Linked DNA regions of Struthio camelus. The protein of the gene in region 2 interacts with the protein of the main gene of each other region in a pairwise test. Links are inferred from orthologs where the notes say so. Each region holds a gene or a part of one and is shown on either strand. Other genes may lie near its edges.

Region 1 (7,215 bases), on a different chromosome or scaffold from region 2:
GAAAATGATTGCTTGTGGGTCTGTAATAAGTGACCTGCAAGTAGCTGAGTGGAGATAAAGAACTGAAAGGTAAGTTTTTTGAAGGACACTGATGGTCCAAAGAAAGCACTTTAGAGAGGAAATTCTGTAAAAGGGAAGTGGAAGGTCTAGCTGGTAGCATTTGCTGTGTAGGCAGGACTTTATGGCAAAGACCCAAAGGCGGCAGTAGAGAGAGGTAGGACAGGAGGACCCAGTTCTTGAGATTTGATTTTGATTGGACTATTTGGGTTTTGAACAAAAAACCCCCTCTGAAAGAAGAAACTGAAATCTTGCCACTCTTGATAGCTGTGTTTGATGCTCTGTTGAAAGCTGGAAGCAGAACAAAGTAACATTCGAACAGAGCGCTGTGGAGCGCAGGGTAAAACATGACTTTACCCTGGGATCAGAGTGTACAGAGGCTGGAAGTCTTTGCAGCCAAGGACGCTGTATTCTCCAACTCAAAAGGAATTTCCTGTCTTGTGTTTGACGTCACCAATATGCCCACATGCATATTAAACTGCATATTTAAATCCAGCCACACTAAGCCCAGGATACATGGTGAGTAAGGAGACTGAGTTTCATTCCTGGATATGAAGGAGGCAACCTTCGTAAGTGCACGCAGTTCCGCAGAGCTAATAAACACACCAGCCCCATGGTGATTCCAAGTACGTTAGAGATATTTAACCATTGCCCTTAGCTGGAAGCAGGATCGGACAGGCACACAGTGTCTGATGCAGAAGATAATGTGGCTTTGTCACTCAGGTCTTGGTAATGTATGGTGATGAAGGCAGCACTGCACGAATAATTATGTTGCTGTCTCATGCCACTCCATATATCACTATGCCTGAATGTCAATAAATGGGAGAATCTGAAGCCAATAAATCATTCCTCACTCATTTAATCCCTTGTTACAGAAACACTGTTTGTTGCTTATGGCACATTTTGTCTCAGTTATAGTCTTAACTAGCTGTTTTGGGGACCTCTGATTTTTTTCAGGGTTATATCTGAGATATTCCCAAACAGATTCTCGTTGCTCTGGAAAATCTGATCTTTCCATATCTGTTCAAAAATTCACACTGACAGCTGGAAACCTAGTGACAGTTAAAGGGTAACAGATGTGCAGCCCTTCAGAAAGCTCCTCTGACAAGTCTCTCTGCAACGAGTGCCCAAAGCCTGCTGGTCTGCCTAGGGATAGTCTTAGCCAGACGAACTCTTCCCGAGCATCAGAACCAAAAAAACCAAACCAGGCAGAGTGCTTGAGCTGCACTATCTGAAGGGCTGAGCAAGCAGGGAACAGATTACGTTTCTCCTCTCCCCTCCGAGTTTGTGGCGTGCAGGTAGGGTATGTCGTTGTGCCTATAGCTTGTGCATTTTGGTGCACAGGGAACTGTTGCCCTGCCCTGCTCCTGCAGGAACACGCCTGCTCGTTGCATGCCGGCTCCAGCCCTAAGCAAAATCCACAAGAATCTTTGCATCAGCCTCCGCGGGTTTTGGGTCTGGTTCTAAGACACCTCAGAAAACCTTGTCATCTTGCAATTCTCCCCACCCGCCTACCCTGCCTCTTTCGTTTTGCAGTGCCTGGAGACAATGTGCAAGGAAATGTGCCGTTTTACCTGTCGATCATTGATTTAAATTGCCTAGTCCCAGGCCGGCGCTATAAATCCTTTTGTACAGCCGGAGAGCCCCGTTTCCTATAGGCCGTTTCCATGGAAACTCGGTGCTCTCCCACGTTCGGTTGCGCAGCGCAGGCAGCTCCGCTGTCCTTCGCTTCTGATTCCATTCACATATTCTCCTATTGATAGGGAAAAAAAAAGGCCATAAATAGCTATTTCCTGTCTTAACACTCTCTTCGCCAATAACTGGATGATATATATATATATATATATATATATATAAGCACATAAAGAGAACGCTCTGCCCTTTTCTAGACATCGTTTGGCACTCGGCATAAAATCTAGATATTCTGAAGGTCTAGTTCTTTCTTGACATGTTGTTTTTATAATTTCAGGGCCTCAGTAGGGAAACACAAGCTTAATATTTCCTTGTGTTTCTGGCTGAGATCACTGCAGAAGAGCATCTCTTCACTGCAGCAAATACCTCCCTAGACTTGGGGCAGCCGAGCAGCAGCCTGCTCTCTGCCTTTGGGCAGTTCTCTGCGCAGCGCCTAGTACAGTGCATTAACTGAGTATATGACATACACCATGGGGAAAGTATCTGCTTATTCCTAACAACGTGGGTATCTGCATGAGCTGTTAGGGTTAAATGAAAAAGAAGCAAGATCAGTGGTACCAGCAAAAACTCTGCAGCCAAGTTCGGATTCATCCTTAGGTTGTGCAGAGTTTAATACCTTTTGAACCATAGGATAAAATAATCCATTCCTTATGTTTGTATCTTAGTGCGTCTTTATGCAAAACAGCCTGGTCAGTCAAAAAGCACTGAGAAGAGAAGCGATATTTTCTCCCGTTGCTGATGAGGAACTGAGGCACAGGGAGACTAAAGAGCCAAATATAGAAGTGTAGCAGTATATGGGTAACAAACAGTCCCATGACATCCCAAAATCCATAGGAATCAAGAGCCTAAATACCCTGGTCTGTGGTGCAGGACTGAGTACTTGGCTGTCAGACTTCAGAACAGTACACTTTATTTTAATGAGCTGCCTCTTCCCACCATATGCTTGCTGCAAAATTCATGTCACATCCAGCTTGCGATCGAAGTCTAGATTTGTGCTTTGATTGTTTGCTAACTGGGAAGTGTTGTGAAAAGTGCTTCACAACATAAATTGCTTAGTTAGACACTGTAAAAAAAAACCAAACAAGTATTATTTTCTTTCCTTTTAGCTGGACATGTTTCCCCTCAATAAGGGAGATTGTAACACTTTCACAAAGCTAGGCGCACAGGGCCAACTAACAAGAAAAAGTAAGGAGTGTCCTACCTGTCTGCCAGAGCTGTAGGAACAGTAGAATTGCTGTTTACAAGACCCCTGGAATATATCTAGAGGGCACAAAGCTATATCTGCATGGCATGCAGCTGTTTCAAACCACACAGACTTAGGAGGAATTTCTTTTTTGGTTCACATATATATACACTTCCTGAATTTTGCTAGGCATTGTGGGTTATTGCTGTAAATATTTCCTAAGCCGTGACAGTGCACTATAGTAGGAACGGAAGACACTGGGAGGAGACCCTGCGGCCTCAACAGTGTGAAACCAACCTCCAGACACCAAACAACCTTCTACAGGATTGAGCAATTAGCAAGTCCACTTATCTTTGAATTGCAGAAACGCTAGAAAGTGACCTTGAAGCTCAGGATGGCAGAATGCAGCCGAGTTGGACGCTTTTTGTCCCACTTCATCATTGTGCATGTAAGCACACCACTAACGATCCAGCAGACTCACACGCTGCTCTCTTTTGGATAATGCCGTGCAGTGGGGTAAGCAGCATCTCTCTTCATCGGTTCTGAGCTGCAAGAATCCCGGCAAATCACTGAAAACCCTAAAATGGCTTTTGTAAGACGTCCACTGGGTATGCAATAGCCTGGGGTTGTCTAGTCTGCTAAAACCAGTAGGGGATAGTCTGAGTACCTCTGTAGAGAAAATTTGCTGTTTGAGGGCTGATGCAACATAAACGCCACGTGAACGAAAACGCTGGGCCTAATTCTGTCCTAGTCACAAGTGACAGGAGCTGTGGAGTCCGCAGGACACAATCATACATGACTGACTCATTTTGCTCATGCAGCTCTAATGTACAGATCTAAATGGATTTGCTCCTAGCTGCCTCAGCTCAAATTTAGCTCCCTGACTTGGGAGCTGCATGCGCTGCAGAAGCAGGATTTGGCCCAGTGATAGGTTTCACTTCCTCATCTCCCAGCAGATTTGTGGTCTAACACTCCAAGATGTGCAGCATAACATGCTGGCAATCTGTCACTCTCCTGGCTCTCGTCAGAGCTGACAGCTTGCTAAGGAAGATAGGTGCCAAAAGAGATGCCGGTCCGACTCGAGTGGCTTCAGAAGTGTCACCTGCGCACAATGGAGAGCACTGCCTGCTGCGGCACGTGCACTCCTGCTCCAGGCACTGCCTTGATCGACTGAACTCAGCAGACATGGGACTAATCCTAGACTTTCCTGTTACTCTTACAGTTTCCCATATGCTACATCTTCACTGAAAGTTGTCCTCCCACTGCTGAGGTTTCACATTTCTGCTTTGTCCTCTCTCTTCAGTACGCAAGCTTGCCTAGCACAACGGCTGCCTGTGAACCCGGGGGCTGTAATTAAGGCTCTTATCACTTAGGCACCCTAAATAGCTGTGGTTCCCTTTTGGGACAGACTCTGCATTCTTAGCACTGGAACCTCTAATCAGGCCAAAACGTTGGCTTGGACCGGCTTGAAATGGGAACTTTGCAACTCTGATCCACAGCTCGGGAACTCCTTGTTCGGTTAGAATTGAAAAGTTGAAGTAGTGCAGATATCTGAGCAGACTGCTGTAATATTTATTAGATTAGCAGCCTGAGTCTGCTGCTTCAAGCAAACTTCTCTAGAGACCGCAGGGATCCATGTATATGAAAGGATGTGGTATCAGTATCTTGCCTCACCATCTAAGTACTTCCCAGTAATAACAAAGACCTACAATACTGATATTGCTGCTTAAAGCACATCAGTAGCATTGTATAGCCTGAACAAATAACTGAGGACATAAAACAGAAACAAGAGTCAAATTCAATATCAACCAAAATGCTGGTGAAACAGTACATCAGTCAGCACTGCTTTGCAGTCATGTGGGACCTAGAAAGGCACACGCAGCCTCAGCTCAGGGTCTGTGCTGAAATTCACCCCATGAGGGCAGTAATTGATGGTCACTGTGGGAGGACAGCAAGAAATGTTTCTATTCCTATTTGCTTATCCTTATTCTATTCATGTGCCTTCAGTGAATCTCAGAGCAAACAGCAAGCATAGTCTTGGGAACTGCAGAACTTTGGCATATGTGAGAGAATATTTATGGGAAGCAAATTTAAAATTCATAAATGGAAGAATTTCACAGGAAGCCAATGCCTAAGGATCATCCAGTCAAGGAACAGAAAACAGCATCAAACGATCAGCCTAGTCTTGGCATTATACAGTGATTGTAGTAGATTCAGTTGTAATTGCAGATCCAAGGATTAGGGGTGAGTAACTTTGGGGGCAAAGAACTTCAGAGACCAACTCTTTCAAAGCAATGCCTGGACAGCATGCCCGCATGACCGAGCAAATTCACCAGCTGAGATGTGCCCTAAGGGTTGTTTAGCCATCTGCAGCCATAATCTTGGGAGGGTGTGGGACATGAGCTGGCAGGCCGCAGGCCAGGATGCCACTATCCGGTGAAGCCTGCCAGAAAGATGCTCTGTGAAAAGGCCAAGTATGAAATAGAAAAGGAGAGTGAACCACTGTGACAGCAAGGGCTTTCCTGCTGCTGCCCACTCGGGGCTGTCTTCGACCAAGTGGCAACTGGCAGCAGCTGAGGCCAGAGCGCCGCTGAAGGCACCGCCTCGTCTCCTGTCTGTGAGCTGAGCTTGCCCTCTGCTGTTTGCTGAATAAACTGTTCCTTCCCATTCATTTGAAATGCCAGGATGAGAACAGGAGAATAGGAGGACCTGAAGAACCACAAGGGCTACCCCAAATTTCAAATACTCAAACACTGTGACATTTAAAAAAAGGCACATCAACACAGGTGGAGTTGTCTTTATCTACCTTTTCTGAGCCTTCAGCATATACTAACTTCATATTCTCAAGCTTTTCTCTGCAGTCATAAAGACTAGAAACCCTATTTTTTTTTTTGATCATTTCCTCCTTTACTAAAAGCCAATATTCAGAATTAAAGCCCCTACTCTCCTGAACCTGGGGGCCTGATCAGGACAGCGCTGCTGACAGCAGGATCAAAGGCTGGATGAGCTTACAGAGAAAGGGGTGAGGAGAGGTGCCCTGGGTGAGATCTTGCGCCGGTCTGGTTTCTCCCCCTGCTCTAGCACCCCGTTCTCTCTCCATCCCAAACTGTGCAGCTTCTGTCCTCCCTCTCCTCTGTGGCCACCTGGCCCTGAGATGGGTCATTGCCAGGATGCCAGCTGCCCTGGAAGGGATGCAAGGGCTTGTCAAGAAAGCTTCTGGCACCTTGCCACGTGTTTGCAAGCTGAGATCAGCCTTCAGGCTCCTCTTGTTGCTGTTTGTTTTCTTCACACTTTCTAGCAGCCTCTCCCTGCACTATCGCTATTGCTATCGCTACCGCTACGGTTGCCCCGTACAGAGGGGCCCAAACAAAGGTGTGGTGATGCTTGATGGCCGGCTCCACTGGTTGGGCTCCCTGGCACAGCCTCCTCCTCCTTGGCGCACTCCTGGGCAGGGCAGGGGCTGACCTGGGACTCATCTCAGGTGAACCTTTACCGTGGCTGGAGCCAGGGACCGGAGCCTGTGGGTAGCTCAGCTCAGGGAAGGAGCAGAGACTGGGATATTCTGTGCTGAGTTCTTTCTCAGCTCGTCCTTTGGAAGAGGTTTCTGGGATTAATCTCTCTAGAAAGGCTCCAGCCCTCCCAGGGATCCTCTTTAAATGCTTCTTTAGGTGCTTTTGCCCAGTTCCTCAGTGAAGGGTTTGTTCCATCCATGGACGAGGCTACGAAAGGTAAGGTGTTAACCAGGCAGGAACGGGATATGGGAGGAAGCTGACTTTCTTGACTGTTTAGATGTGTAGTGATTGCCTAGAGCAGGACATTTCCCCCTGTGCCATAGCCCTGTCTCAACCCAGGACTCTCTCACAACACCGAGAAATTTAATGATAGCAGACAACATCTGCAAACGCCACAGAAATGTAAAGACAATCAGCAATTATGGATGAGGAAACAGTAGGTATAAGCAAGGCCAAGGCTGTTCTCAAAGGGCAGCAACGACTAGTCCTTGCTCATGGTTATTTCAGATATGGATATCAAGTAAGCAGATCTATAGCATGGCTGAAAAATGAGCAACAGTTTTGGCATCCGCAGAATCAATTCCACTAGCTGCTATGAGAATAATGAGCTTCCATTATCATCTGCATGGTCATAGTCAAAGACTTGGATATTTTTTATTTTAAACTAAGGATTTTTTGGTTATTTAAAGGCTTTAAGTGTTTAGTTTAACCTGGATTGTATGACTTCCAACACAATGAAGCAAATATTTTGAAGATTTAGAGTGCTGGACA
Region 2 (7,470 bases):
CTGGCTGACTCAAGTAGGAATACGCAGGCATTAACAAAACCATCAAGCAGAATCTGCATTCATATAAACCCCGGGTCACACTATGTTGACTTTACACACAAGATAGTACTAGCTCTAGAAGTTGGAGGGATACCTCATGGGACTGTAAAAGTAACCAGGAACAACAAACGATGGTGCGGTGTTAGCTGCTGAGCTACTTTCAGACTGGGTGATGTCTTGATATAATGCATACCGTTTCTCAAGACATTTAATTTTGGATTACACAAGGTCAAAGATTGAACTCCATTCTGAGTACTTTGAATGAGAACTGCAAAAAAGACGACTGGTGTAAATACTATTAGTTTATCAGTGGTCATAACAGTCTTCAGGCCATTCTCCCAGGAACAATGGCCTATTACTGCTGAAACTGGGAAAGACTTCTTCAAGTGAGGATGCAGGAAAATAAGAAATTAAAGTCTAAGCAATGAAATATGGAAACATTTACAAGCCTAGAAAGTAGGCTTTGTTCCGGGGGCGTCAAGTAAGGGGCAGATAATCAAAAAACAGACAAAAGGAATTCTTCTGAACTAAAAAGAAAGAAATTCCACTTAAGTGAGAGTAACAGCCTTAGACAAACTTTGGCAGGTCACCTACAAGCTGGAAAGAGAAGGAAACGACGAGGAAACGTGGAGAAAAAATAACGTGAAGAAAAAATAAGACAAAGAGGAATACAAAATTATGGAAAAAACCCTACTTTTTAAAGGGAACTTTACAGAAGCCAGAGGAATACAAGATCAGCAAGGAGAGCAGCTTCATGTCACTTAGTGTAATTACCACTGTGTGTGCTTAGCAGGAATGTGACATTCGCAAATGACCCAATTACAACACGCACAGTTGATTTTCGTCCATACGGCAGTTTTTTCACAAGCAACCAGTCACTGTGTGTGCACGCACCGCGCTTTTTATGCTGCTGTTCTGCATTTTTATCAACCCATCCTGAGAAATCTGGATTTTCATTCCATACCACTACAGAAAGGAAAAGCAAAAAGCTTGAGGACTCAGATACAAAGAGCTGCAGAGCATAGAGAAAAGCATCTTGAGGAGTCTGTTACCATGAAAATTGGGAAGAAGGGGCATCAGCTACAGGGAAGGGTGAGGGTTCTACCAACACAGACCAGTTTTTGCGGAATATAACCCAAAGGCATAAATGGTTGCAAAGAATGATTAGAGAAATCCCCAGGGCTTGCTAGTTGGGACGGACATTCTGATTCAGGAAGTATTTAAATGTTAAGTTCCTGGGTACTGAGATACTGAGGTATGTTGAGGAAAGTGTCATTTTTACCTCACTCTTTTTCTAAGCATCTGCCACTGGACGCTGCTGGAATCAAGACAGTGGCTAGATGAAACTTTGATTTGATCCATCAAAGGGAATCAGTAAATTAAGGCTTAGAAAAGAAAATCCTTAACATCCCCATGCTTCTCATTTGGCCATTAATTCTGAAACTCACTGAAGATCCTTTTTGGAATAAACTTTCAAATATTAGGTACACAGCTATATATAGACACTATTAAATCCAAGCATCACTTTAATTAAAAAAAAGAAAAAGAAAAATCACTAAATCTCACAACCATGTATCACTTTTCCAATGTTGACCGCTACTGAATCTAATAGTAGATAGAAAGGGGCCCTGCAAATTCATTAGCACAGGGCCACACTATATCCTGTTCTTTGTGCAAAAAATCCTGTTGCCATCCGTGAGAACTCATTCCACTGTGACTAGAAACAGAGCTAACTATAACACTGGCACACAAATTACAATTATCAGTGTAATTCATCCCTCACCGTGGAGTGTCTTGGGCACCAATGCCCATAAATTTTGTGGGGTTTACATCTTTCCTGTTAAATTACCACTAACAGACTACACCTTCGCGGTCTGTTTGCTCCTGTTTTCAGTGAGCGTGATGTTTACTGTAATGACGGCAGATACAGTATTCTCAAAAGTATCCTACCTTAACTCCTGGATATTCTTGCTCATTGTAACAGCATCTGTGAAGAAAATTAACTATCGTTATTTTGTAGCATTTAAACATTCAACTTCCTGTCATACAAAATGTATTTTGGCCCCCTAATTTGAATACTGCAGGAGGAACTCCAGGATATTGTCATAGTTACTCTCCTTTATAGTTTTATGCTTTATTCTGGATTTTGATGAACAAACACAGCTGCACGTTCTTATAAATGCTTGTTAGCATCTCCTGTTTTTCAACAACAATTAAATGGAAAATCATGTATACTGACACTTTCCTGAGATAAGCTTTCCGATATGCAATTTCTTCTAAAAGAAACGTTGAAGACTGGATTTCTACAGAAGTTTACCTTGATCTTATTTAGAAATCTTACCTATCCAGTCTGCTCAACTAAATCCAAGTGGACTTTCTGCTCACACAGGCGCTTTGGGAGGGATGCCCAAGGAGGAAAGAGAAAGCGAGGTCTGAGGTGAGCCTCAGACGGGTTCCCCTAGATTCCTACGCACTGAGTTTCGGATTGCTATAAAAGCCCCTGAGGACAATAGCAAGGCCCAGAAACTTCAACCACGCCACGAACCAAAGGCCTGATTTCGCGACGCCCGCTCAGACCGTGTCACCCCGCTGCCCCCCCTTGCTCCCGCGTGGGAAAATGGCGGCGCGGGGGGCGCGAGGCCAGCCCGGGCCCCCCACAAAATGGCCGCCCCTGAAGCCGCCAGCCCTGCTCTCCCCTCCCTCCCCTCCCAGGTGTGCGACGACTACCTCAGGTGGCCCCCGCGAGCACGACCCAACCCACCTGCGAGAAAGCGCCCCCCCCGCCTTTATAAACCCTCCCGCCTCCCCTCCTCGGGTTTTTGGGACGGCGGCGCCCTGGTTCTCGCCTCGCCGGCTGCGGGCTCCCCGCGAGGGAACCGCCTCACCACCACCACCACCCCTCCCCACACAGGGGGAGGCGATCGCCGCCCGTTTCACCTCAGAGCAGCAGCGAGAGCAGAGCAGCTCCGCCGGCCGGCGCTGCCCTCCCCGCGAGGGGGGAGAGGCCGGGCAGCCCGGCTCCCCCTGGGGCTGGGCGGGAGCCGTCCTCAAATGGACGCTCGTTGGTGTCCCCCCTTCTTCTCCTCCCCCCCCCCCAACCCCGGACCGCCGCCGAGGGGACTCGAGCCGCCCTCACGGCCGCTAAGTTGTAAACGCCAATGATTTAACGAGCTCCTTTCTCGAGCCTGGAGGTAAAAACGAAAACCCCCGTAGCACCGAGCACCGGCTGCCTCCCTTGGGGGTGGGGGGAGACTCCCGCCGGCAGCCCCCCCCCCCCCCACAGGCCGTTGCCGGCGTGTGGGGGGCTGCGTGGCGTGACAGGAAAAACGGGCGGGAGGTGGGTGGTGGGGCTGGGAACGGGGGGAGGGGGGTATAACGCGGCCCCTGTGGTGCCTATGCCGTCTTGGGTCTTGATTTCAGGAGCGCGCGTGCAGATCTCAGCAGTCTGCACCTCTACCAGATTATTTGAAATCACCGCCAGCAGCGTATACCGGAGAGACCGCCCTACGGCGCTCAAGGAATATGTGTGTGACCTGGACGCGAAAGAAAAATGCCACAGAGCTCCGAAAACTTCAGTCAGCAGGAAGCCGGGAAAAACATACACGCATATGTACGTATATTTAAATACCGCAGCTAAGTGGCAAAACACATCACCTTTCCTCCAAAGGAGGTAATGTAGCTCTTCAGAGAGAAGAAAGCCTTCCTGTTACAACTAAGAGACTGAGCCCAAAAGGCAAAGGAGGAAAAGTGGTTTTTACAGGGATTGCTTCGGGATTGAGGAGACAAGGGAGAGAATCAGCCAGTTGGAAAGAGAGCCCTGGTTTTTGCTCTCCCTGCTGCGCCAGCTGCAAAACTGGCATGCGGGATGGAGAAATAACTTGAGGAAAGAAGTGTTTCCTGCTGCACCACCTGGAAAAAGAGGCGGAAAAGAAAAGGTACTTCCTTATTCTGTCAAAAACGAAAAGGGGTGAAAGAAAGTTTATAGGTAAATCAGAGACAGAGAAGGCAGATGGGATTATGCTACCCGGTGTCCTGCCGCTATGCCAAGGCAGACTTTAAGGCTCAGTCTCAGGTAGTAACAAAGCATAAAAACTCACCTGGGATGTGGACTGCACCTACCTCTGGCAGACACTGGAGAGGTTTGTTTTTCTGACACTCAGGCAGCTCTCGAATGGCTTGTTGAGCACTGACGTGCGTCTCCTCCTGAGGTGAGGATCACGCTCCTAGGGATGGTGTGTCCTGAGGTTTTTCTCCCTGTGTTGGGGCTGGGAAAGGAGGGGCTGTGATCAGCTCACCTTCACTCACTTTTTCTCTCCCCCCTGTCCCTTTTCTGGCTGTGGGGTGCACATCCAGCTCCCAAAACCCAACTCCTGAACTATGGGAGCCGTTGGGAGCCACCTGCCCCTCACCCCTGTGCCTGACTCCGTAGCCTTGGGAACAGACCCCTCCTCTGAAGCGGGTCATGCGCGTGAGTGGGAACCAATAAAAACCACATCCAGCGTTTGATTTCTCTGCGAAGTTTCATTCAAAATGTGCCAGCTTCAGCAGGGAATTTGATAGCGCAGGGTGCTTCCTACGGAGCATTTCCTCTCCTGGCAACAGGTGCTTTTTTTTTGCCTAGCCAGGGGCTTGGCCTTCCCTGCTGCTTCCTCCCCCCCACCCCGACACCAGTCATATCCTGGAGAAAGAATAACCATTTCAGAAGACTATTCTCCGATAGCTTTTCTCCTATTTTGGGAATAACTCTGAGAAGAAAATGTAAGAATTTCCACGTGCTTGCCAGCCTGATGCAAATATAAATTCCTGTCTTTAAGATAAATCCATTTCTTCCACTGTGTGCAGGGGGATGCAGCTTTATGGGAAGGCAATGGACTTACTTATATCAGCTGAGGCACTGATTCTAAAATATCTGAGCCATACCCACCAGCCATTTCAGTTTTGGATAAAGGCATTGATAACTACTTTCAGTGGTTAAATAATTGTTTTACAACGATTTAATCTGTTTAACACCAGAAAACTAATATAATAGAATTATACTCTAGGATATAAGAATTATAATAGAATGGCAATATAGTAAGAGCACCTGGCTCCTTCAGTGGGGTTTAAGCTACCATTTTTACCTCATGTTTTTGGTAGGTGAGAAGTGCATGTACAGTGGAAGCCTGCAGTCCAGCCAGGGTTGGGGTAACTTGTTTTGCTGTGGTGCCTGCCCTGAAGAGTGTGGCTGAGGTAAGTAAGGTGTAACTGTAACTGCGGTAACAGTGCCTGTCATGGTGCCTCAGGTGACTTTATCTGTATTCCAGATTGCAAGGAACAGCTGCAAGAAGTAGCTTGACACAGAAACCTCTGCTGTCAACAAATGGATATATCTAGAAGCTGTCAAATCGTATACATAGCCTGCTAAGGTATAGTTAACTACTATACTACTGTACGGTTCCATGAGGGGATGGCTTCCCCAAGCCTTTTGTGCTTCCCTCTTTTTAAAAAGCATGTAACTGAGTCTAAGCAAGGAAAACCCCTTTGGCTATTGCCTGATAATACTGGATAAATCCAAATACTCAGACTCTTATTAATTTAGTGTTAGAATGAAGACTTCCTTTCTGAAGTGCCTGCTTCTGTCAGTCTTGATAAAGTCTTGAGTTCAGACTTCCTTTGTGTGGAAGGGCTTAAGGCAATATATGGAAAATGAGGAAGTCTTATTACTGAAATGTACTTGCTGTTATTACAATTTTAATGCAATGTGTGTTTTTGGATTGTATTATGAACCTTTTTTGATTACTAGTTCCTGACTGAAGCAGTTGTTTTCACAGGGTTATACTCTTTGCATTATGTTGGAGAGGTGAAAATGCAGGTGCAAAGAAAAATTCTGCAGTTCTGGACTTAGCTGGAATTCAGCTACTTCAGTTGTGACTGCTCTTCTAGTATCTTTAGAGGGACAGTTTTATTCTTCACCTTGTCTTGTTGCTTTTCAGTTTGCTCTGAGCAACTGAGGGACTGAGAGGTGTTCAGTGCCAAAGGCAGCGTTGTCTGGAGAGGAGGGTTCTTTGCTCACTAAAGAGAGCTCTTTCTTTTCAGACCTTCAGAGGTCACTTTTTCCAATGTGAAAAGATAGATTCATGGTTTTGCAGCTTCCTTCTGTTTCTGAGCCTTGTTCTTTCTTTACACTTTTGGGTGTAAAAAAGTGTACACTTTACATTTTCCCCTTTCCCTGTCTGATTTTTCTTATTTTATCCTGGACTTGTCCAGACGAGTAGACTTATTCTGTGGTCTGGAAGAGAGAAGGACTGAAGTGCAGCCTGGCATTTGAACACACTTCCCTGTATAGCCATAGAAGCGTCTTCTGTGAAAACATATTTTGAATGTGGGTGTGTGATACCATCTCTTTGAATTCGTATAGAGGCTTAATTTTGGCTCTTTCCTCTAATTTTTTCTTTTAGATGCCAGAATGACATTTTACAGAGTTTGAGTGAATGGGTATTTTAGAGTCAGCTCAACTTACTACTTGGAGGTAAGTGTAGAAAACCACTCTTCTATTTACCCATTTGTAAATTTACTGATATAATAAACCTTCTGAGGAATTATTAACCCAAGAAGGAGCGTTTCACTTAAGAGCTCCTGGGCTGATTCACACCAGGGTTGTGGCTTTTGACAAACACTTTTTGTTTGTTTGTTTTTCCCCTCTATCCTTCTGCAGATGCAGGTGAATAGCCTTGGGACTTAGGGGATGAGGAGGAAACTGAGACGCACACTGGTGCTTGAAGATTAATAGTCTCTCTGCTTGTTTCTGTGAAAGGTACAAAGATCCCCACTTCTTCCACCTTGCCTATTTAAATAAATATACATTTAATACAAAATGTGTAGAGCAGAGCTGTCTGAGCCTTTAACTCACTCATAAGCAATTTGTGAGTGCAGCTAGAAATACGGATGGCAGCTCCGTAATGCTAGAGGCTTGGGTGCCTGGCCTGGAGGTGTGGTGCACTGATGCCCTCAGCACCCATCTCCATGGAAGGCTCCAGAAAGGCCCCTGGGAGGGGTAAGCCCCAGCCTTCCCCCTCTATTCAGCACAAAACTTGCACAGACATCCTGTTTCTGCTGTCTTGCCTGACCATATACCATGTGCTCTCTGAAGATGTGCAAAGCCTGGAATGGTATTGGTTCACCCCTTTGCATGAAAAGGCTAGAAATAAAAATACTGAACCATCCAAAGATGCTTTATGCTTGGAAAGTGACTGTGAGCCCTTTCTCACTTTTACAGACTCATTCCTGGGAGGTCAACAGAGTTGTGCTGGAGTAAAACAAGAATGAGGCAGTTCAGTGCTGGCTCCTGCACTCTTTGTGGACTTGCTTGCAGTGATGATTTTTCTACCAAAGTCAGCACATTGGGTAATCAGTTAAACTTCTGATGTACAAATCTGAGCCACTTGGGCATGT

What was found.
Region 1: the proteins of CCDC158 (region 2) and GPSM1 interact in a two-hybrid assay, tested with the Homo sapiens proteins (2 studies listed by BioGRID and IntAct). The link is inferred for Struthio camelus from reciprocal best matches to the Homo sapiens genes CCDC158 and GPSM1.

The regions. Positions count from the first base shown.
Region 1 is NC_090961.1:3,520,651-3,527,865, reverse strand, and holds the start of GPSM1 (G-protein-signaling modulator 1), read right to left. Parts: upstream 3,089-7,215; 5' UTR 2,951-3,088; intron 2,714-2,950; exon of another isoform or gene 2,603-2,713; intron 1,811-2,602; 5' UTR 1,643-1,810; coding exon 1,632-1,642; intron 1-1,631. UniProt on the Homo sapiens protein: Guanine nucleotide dissociation inhibitor (GDI) which functions as a receptor-independent activator of heterotrimeric G-protein signaling.
Region 2 is NC_090945.1:6,561,815-6,569,284, reverse strand, and holds the start of CCDC158 (coiled-coil domain-containing protein 158), read right to left. Parts: upstream 3,132-7,470; 5' UTR 2,977-3,131; exon of another isoform or gene 2,891-2,976; intron 2,027-2,890; 5' UTR 2,016-2,026; coding exon 1,990-2,015; intron 1-1,989.